Linked DNA regions of Schizosaccharomyces pombe. The protein of the gene in region 1 interacts with the protein of each later gene in a pairwise test. Each region holds a gene or a part of one and is shown in the gene's direction. Other genes may lie near its edges.

The links.
Region 2: the proteins of dbl1 (region 1) and nce103 interact in a two-hybrid assay, tested with the Schizosaccharomyces pombe proteins (one large-scale study listed by BioGRID).

Annotation. Positions count from the first base shown.
Region 1 is NC_003421.2:831,507-835,253, reverse strand, and holds dbl1 (protein Dbl1), read left to right. Parts: upstream 1-1,874; 5' UTR 1,875-2,253; coding exon 2,254-2,907; 3' UTR 2,908-3,188; downstream 3,189-3,747. Other genes in the region: aah3 (GPI-anchored glycosyl hydrolase family 13 protein), read left to right, coding at 1-1,288; mitochondrial LYR family protein Lyr2, read right to left, coding at 3,212-3,747.
Region 2 is NC_003423.3:3,640,359-3,644,160, reverse strand, and holds nce103 (putative carbonic anhydrase), read left to right. Parts: upstream 1-1,976; 5' UTR 1,977-2,210; coding exon 2,211-2,945; 3' UTR 2,946-3,219; downstream 3,220-3,802. Other genes in the region: histone lysine methyltransferase Set6, read left to right, coding at 1-343; rpp201 (ribosomal protein P2), read right to left, coding at 577-600, 664-972; protein mug45, read right to left, coding at 3,220-3,802.

The DNA of each region.
Region 1 (3,747 bases):
AATGTTGGATAGTATCGTCAATTCTATGGCACTTGCTCCTCCGCTAGCAGATGCTGACTATTCATCTCTTAATCCTTTTAACAAGGAGAGCTACTTCCATCCGTACTGTCTTATTGATTGGGATATCACAGATAATGAGACGAACGTAATGGATTGTTGGCAAGATTCTGGTGTATTGTTGGCCGATTTGGATGTCGAAAGTTCAGACGTTTCTTCCTATTTGAGTGATCATTTCAAAAGTCTTATTTCTAAATACGATTTTGATGGACTGCGTATTGATGCTGTGAAAATGATGAACTACACATTCTTTCCTGATTTCGTTGATGCTACGGGTGTTTACAGCGTTGGTGAAGTTTTCTCTTATGATCCTGATACTATGTGTAGTTACATGAGTGTCCTTCCTGGAGTTACCAATTACTTTTTGCAGTTGTACATAAACTTCTCTTTTACTGCTACTGGTGCTGGATTCACTCTTATTCCCACTTACCAGGAGGTAATGGCTTCAAACTGTTCAAAATATGATAGTACTTTAATGTTGACTTTTATCGAAAATCACGATTTGTACAGATTTCCTTATTACACAAGTGACCAGTCACAGATTATGGGGGCTTTGTCATTTGTGTTGATTTGGGACGGCATACCCTCAATTTTCTACGGACAAGAACAGGGATTCAATGGTGGTGAGGATCCTGCTAATCGTCCTGCACTTTGGCTTACTGATTACGATCAATCAAACCCGTACTATACCGTTATTAAAACGATGGTTGCATTTAGAAAGTTTGTCATTACTCAGGATCCGGATTGGGTCACTTCCACATATCAATCGATCGAATCTGCTGTTGATCACTATGTTGGACAAAAAAATGATGTTCTCGTCATGTTCAATAATATGGGAGTTACCAACAACCTTACAATTTATGAAGTTGAGACGAATTACACTGCCAATGAAGTAGTCTCTGATGTCTTCGGTCACAGAACTTTAACCGTTGGTGCCGATAAAACCTTGACTGCCAGTATGACCAACGGATATCCCTTGATTATGTATCCACATTCGAAGATGTCTGGTTTTACATTACCAACTGTCAATCGTACAGTCATGCCATCTACATCGGCAACTGCCACAACCACTGTCTATACCTCTTATTACTCTCCTTCTTATTCTGCCAGATCATTTACTGGTACTGGTAGTATATTTACGATCTCTTCATCATCTAGACTTATCCTTTCTTTCAAGACTTTAGTTTTTGGCTTGGGTGTTACCGCAATGCTCTTTGTTTTATTCTTCTAGAATGCCCAAATAACCGCGTTAATTTTTAAAATTTTAACAATTTGCGTTTTTTTCGTCAAGGAAGGTCATTTTTTGGGTTGAATCTAATAACCATATAATGAGAATGAGTTAATTTATGCCTACAGCTTATTCTTGTTCTGATGCTTTAATCTCTCACTTGTTATTATTTGTCTTTGTAAACCTTTTTTTATCATACATATCTTTTAAACTGGCATATCTATTGTCTTGGAGCAGAAATGAAAAAAATTATCTGCCTAGTGGAATAGTCAATGAAAAGTAATATTGCATTTTTTAACAACCAAATGAAAAAGTACAGTTCTTATGCGTAGTTTCGCTTTACATCAAAAACATTTGCTTACATTGGTAAGTAAAAATAAAAAAATTTATCGAGTAGACATGTTGTTAGTATATTAAGGTGTAGGTCATCCAATATCACCATAAGCTCATAAAATTTGTACTTAAACTTATATTCTTTTCTAACGCTTTCATTTAAATTTAATAGTTTTTTGATGGAAAAGTCACATAATTGCAGGTGTTACTTAACATTGGTTTACGTTACAATCATTGAACATTTCTAAAATTCCCCATTCCACGGACCCGTATTCATATTCCATTTGTAATTAAAGAAAGTTTTGTTCTTGGATAAAGGTAACCAGTAGTTACTAAAAAGTTCGAACTTTTGGGACCTTCAGATGTCTTTAACCTAAACGACCGCGTAATTTGCTATTGTTTACATGTTGTGTTTCAACTGCTAAATTAACAGGAGAAGGAGAATAATTGTAAGCTAGCAGATACTGTGTGGAGCGATCTTTGTCGAACAGGCAGTATTCGTTTTGTCTGGAGACCTTACCTGAGATTCTGATACTAAACGTTGTAATCATCTTAGAGTAACTGGATCACTCGTTTAATTCTTTAAAAGTGAACTGAAAAATATTTTTACCATTTAACTCATTGCACGTTTGAGGATGCAAGATTCTTCCAAAAATAAACAACCATGCGTCTCATGGAAAGTTTCTCCTTTAAAAGCGAAAGCCATGTCTCCTGATGATGTCTCAAGGCTTTTTTGTAAATCCAGTACTAGTAGCGCTACTCGGAAGCATGATCCTTTTCATAAGCTATGGGATCGCTTACAACCAAAAGCACAATCCACTATTCAACGGACATCTTCATTGCCTGTTCCTTCGTCAAGTAATTTTAAAGAGAGATTAAATAATATAGGAGGACTTAAGAGGTCAAGGACATTGGAAAGCTCCTATGAAGATGAAACAGAGACTGCAAATAAGCTGTCACGGGTTTCTAGTTTGGTGAGCGTGATACGACAAACTATAGATCGCAAAAAATCACTAGAAAGAAGGGTAAGGGAAGAACAAGAAGAGAAGACAGATAATGAGGATGATAATGATGTCGAAATATCTACTCAGGAATCCCTGGAAAACAATGGTTTAGCGGAAAAGAAGGATGATACTTCATCACTTGCTACGTTGGAAGATGACATTGAGGGCCAAGAATTTTCGTTTGATGACCAAGATTTACAAATGCTTCAGGACATAGAAGACCAATGGCTCAGTTCTCAAAAACAGCAAGGTTCTCCTCTAACATCAGATCATATAAGCAAATAGAAAACGCTATTCGTAGTTTGACGGTTGGGCTAATGATTGTTGTATTTCCGCAAAGTATACCATGTAAATTTTTAAGCTTGTTATTTTGGGAAAAGAGTTTCGCAAGCACAATGTGAATACTACTGTATATGTACTGCCGCGATTAAGAACTGCAATGCACGAATTGCTTGCTTTACAACTTTATTACGTCTCCAAGGCGAGTGTATGTTTCTAAAATTTTTTTATGTTTGATATATACAAAATAATAATAATTATGATATTCGTCGTAAACTTCTCTCAGAAGCTAATTAAAGAATTAAATACATCAAGGTGAAGAGCGTCGAGATACCTTCCAAAAGTTTAGATATCTATTTTCGAGTTTTTGTCTAGCTGCTTCTAACTCAAGCATGTTGTAAAATTGCGAAACGATATGCCAATTTTTTGATTCTCGTTTGTAAATAGAATCGAGATCACTTAAAACCATTTGTATGCATTTATGAATCTCATCAGCATACCCAACATCCTCCTCTGAAATGTATGCCTTCATAAATTCATCTTCAAGTTTAGCATGGCGTAGCATACAGCTCATGCTTTGGATGAGACGATGTTTATTCTCTTTCATAGTTATCCTTTTTTTTAACATTCCACTTATTCTCTGACTTTGAGGCCAGAATTTGGGGCGTAAAAACGTATCTCCTCCAGTAGTACTTACTAAATGATATAGCACTTCACCATTGCGCACATAATTAAATATTGAATTGGACTTTAGCTTTTTTGTTTTCGTATGCGGTTTTGTTATCCCAACATCTCCTTGTTTTCCACCTTCATTTAAGTATTTTCGATACTTAGATAGCATATGAG
Region 2 (3,802 bases), on another chromosome or scaffold:
GTTCCCGTCCAGCTCTCAACCTCAGCAGACTGTACCTACCAATAACTCGTTATTTTTATTGAAGAATATACCATCATTTGGAGGGTTACACCACTGTATTTTGGGCCGCTATTCTATTTCCCTTGATGATTTTGTTTTGTGGCTTTTAGATAGGGCTCAAAGGCTACAGCAAGCAGTTAGAATAAGTCATCCTTCGACCACATTTTGTTCAAATGTGGAAAATGACATTAAAGAAATATTTGAGGTTTGTAAAGACTATTGCATGCTTCATGTTCAAAACAATTTGAAAGCATTTGAAGAAAAATTATGGGCCGCTTGTAAAGACTTCCTAGTAACATACTAAATAAAATTTATTATTCTCGAAACAACGACTTGCTTTACAAGTGTAAAGTCTCTTATATTCAAATCAACAACACGGGGCACCAGTGGTACATTAACATTTAAAGTAAGCTAAAATTACATTTATCAAACGAAAAATACTATTACGAATGGAGCACTAAAAAAAAATTGGTAAAATAAAACCAACACGGCGATTTATTTTTATGAAAGCGTAATGAAAACAAGGGATCATTTGGTTTAGTCGAAAAGACCGAAACCCATCTAAAATTGTTAGTAAGATGCTTTTGAGAAACAAAGAATGCTTCTTATCTAAAATTAACTTACGTCTTCATCAGATTCCTCCTCTTCCTTGGCTTCCTCCTTAGCAGCCTCCTCAGCAGCAGGGGCAGCACCGCCAGCAGCGGCGGCAGGAGCAGCAGAAGCAGCACCACCAGTGGGGACAGTAGCAAGCTTCTCGTTACCAGCAGCGATGAGCTCGTCGATATCCTTACCGTTAAGCTCGTTGATCAAAGTTTCAATGCGCTCAGATTCAGCTTCAATACCGACAGTAGACAAAACAGACTCGATATCAGAAGCGGAAGGGGAGTCCTTTCCACCAACGGTCAAGAGTAAATAAGCTGCAAGGTACTTCATTTTGACGAGGAGTGCAGTGCGTGTTGATGGCAGAAAGTATTAAGCATTCACAACACTAAGGGACTCGAAACTTTTGTGACTGGTTTTCGAGTTAGGTTAGGGTATGTGTTTGAGTGGAATGCTGCGATGATTTCTAAGGTTTGTTATATTCGTTTAGTTGACGAGCACGATATTTACAAGCTTTTTCTACAAGTTCAAATCAACCTAAATAGTTGTTAGTTAAGGGCGTGCTAATTATTTTTATAATAGTAAGAAAACCGTATGCACAAAGAGGCATAATTAATGTCATACACGTATTTGAGTTTATCAATGGGAATTGAAACAAACATATTAATGTTTGGTAAACTGACGGTTTAAATATAACTTCAAGTGCTTAACTTACTGGCCGAGACTTGAAATAGCTGTATAAGCTATTGAATAAATTTTCTCAATTGTCTTTACTTTCATTTCATTCCTCCTATTATGGGTAACAATGGGCAATTGTTTTTTTTTCGTCTTTTTTTATAGTAATGTCAGCGGTGCCCATGTTAACAAATGTTTCAATCTACAAAACCTAATTATCGCTTAATTTAATTTTAGATTAACTTAATCGAAAACACGTATAACGATAAGACGATATACTCGTAATTGATAAATGACGGATTCTTCTCCAATAATTTTGTGTTTAGAAAAAAAAAATTTCGCACGGTTGCGAAATCTTTATGGCTGTCAACATTTTATTCATATTTGGGACAATTTGCAATTTTAAGCCAATCGTATCCGGTTTTTTGTTAACTGCGAAGCCGTCAAAACTATCCGTAGGTAGTCCCTTGCAAAGATCTAGCAAAATAAATTACATTATATAATAGATAAACCAATAAACCTTACCTACTCGACGGACGGGACGGCTTGTTATCGGAGTATTAGCTATACATCAAAGTTCATCATCATAGCTTTGCTCACATCACAAACGTTTCCATTTTTGTCGTGTGGTATAAAAACGTATCATGCTCCCACCATTCGGTGCTTTGACAACTACAAAAATTCCGCTTCCAAAAACCATACTCCAGTCTACCTTTAACCAAATAAAAAGTAGCAGCTACTCGATAATAGCGGCTCCGCGGTTAACATCGAGATTCATTCGTTTTCCTTGTAATTATAATAGTTGTTTACAATCCATATCTTTTTCATCGCTTGGAAGAAAAAGATTGTTTTTTTCGTCTAGTCAATTGTTAGAGAAAAGTGATAAAAAAAAGAAAATGCCTGATAGATTGAAACGTCGTATTGAGGAAATCGATCATCAAGACGAGATAATCGACAGAGAAGCTTCAACCGCTTCTCCCGTTTCTGGCGCTGGTAAAATTGACCAGAATGGGGAAATCAAAGATTTGCTTGAACGCAATCTGACTTGGTCACAACAAACTAGCAGAAAGTACCCATCCTTTTTTACAGCCACCAAAGATATTCAAACTCCTCAAGTTCTTTGGATCGGATGTTCAGATTCTCGTGTTCCTGAGACCACCATTCTGAATTTACTTCCAGGTGAAGTCTTCGTTCATCGAAACATTGCCAATGTCGTTCCTCGTTCTGACATTAATGCTTTAGCTGTTATGGAGTACTCCGTGACCGTATTAAAGGTTAAGCACATCATTGTCTGTGGCCATTATGGATGCGGTGGTGTCGCTGCTGCTCTTGGTCCTAATTTAAACAATTTGTTGGATCATTGGTTGCGACACATCCGTGATGTTATCGAAGACAATCGTGAAGAACTTGACGCCATTGAAGATCCCCAACTTCGTCGCCTTAAACTTGCCGAACTTAATACTCGTGCTCAAGCAATTTCTGTAACCCGGGTTGGCTTTGTTCGTGAAGCAATGGAAAAGCGTGGCTTACAAGTTCATGGCTGGATTTACGATCTTTCCAATGGTCAAATCAAAAAATTGGATATCACGGACGCCATCAAAAAGGCCAAATACGGTACTTATGATAGTTAATTTCACTGGAAGTTTTCTCAACCTCGACTTGGTTACGATTGATTTATGTGAGTTTTTCTGTTTGTTTTTTTTGTTTAGATTTTTACTATCTCCGATTGGTTCAAGTATTTAAAAGTTTTGTAATAAGTTTATACCTTTTGATGAAGTATGGCATATCGAACGAACTGCGCATTTGTCGCCGTGTCTTGAATTAGTTATATAATGATTGACAAGACGGACGATACCTTAGATGAAAATCGATATAGCAATAGTAAATATAGTTTCATTGACTGTGTTAATTCGTGTAAATAAAAACAACTTGTAATATTAGATAAATTCCTATCAAAAGAGTCAACAAACACATGGCCGTTGTGCTTACATTAACATTCAAGATAACCTCAATTAGCTCAAGCAGTAGCTTTATTATATTTTTCGCGGGTCCATATATACTATAACTATTTTGAAGGATTATAAATTCGCTTTTGAAATCAAAATAAGTGTAGTTTTGTCTAGGTTCAAAATCGAAGCCTCCATTTTGACTAAAATAAAATGAACCATCGAATAATAATGTACTGTTTGTGTATACAATGGTTTGAAATTCAACCAGTGTACGTGAATCGGTGGGCGGTAAAAATTGGGGAAGATAAACACGATATTTAAATAAATTATAGCGTTCGGGTTTAATTAATATTCCTATCTCCAATAAAAGTATTTGTTTTCTCGAAGTAGTTCGAAAAAAATATGTGCCATCCTTGCAAAAAAAATTAGCTTCACAATTATCCACATAAGCCCAGGAAATCCACATATTTTTTGATAGTTTTACCCCATATACATCCCTTTCCCTGGCGTCATTAAATATATAGGAAGAAGAAAAATGC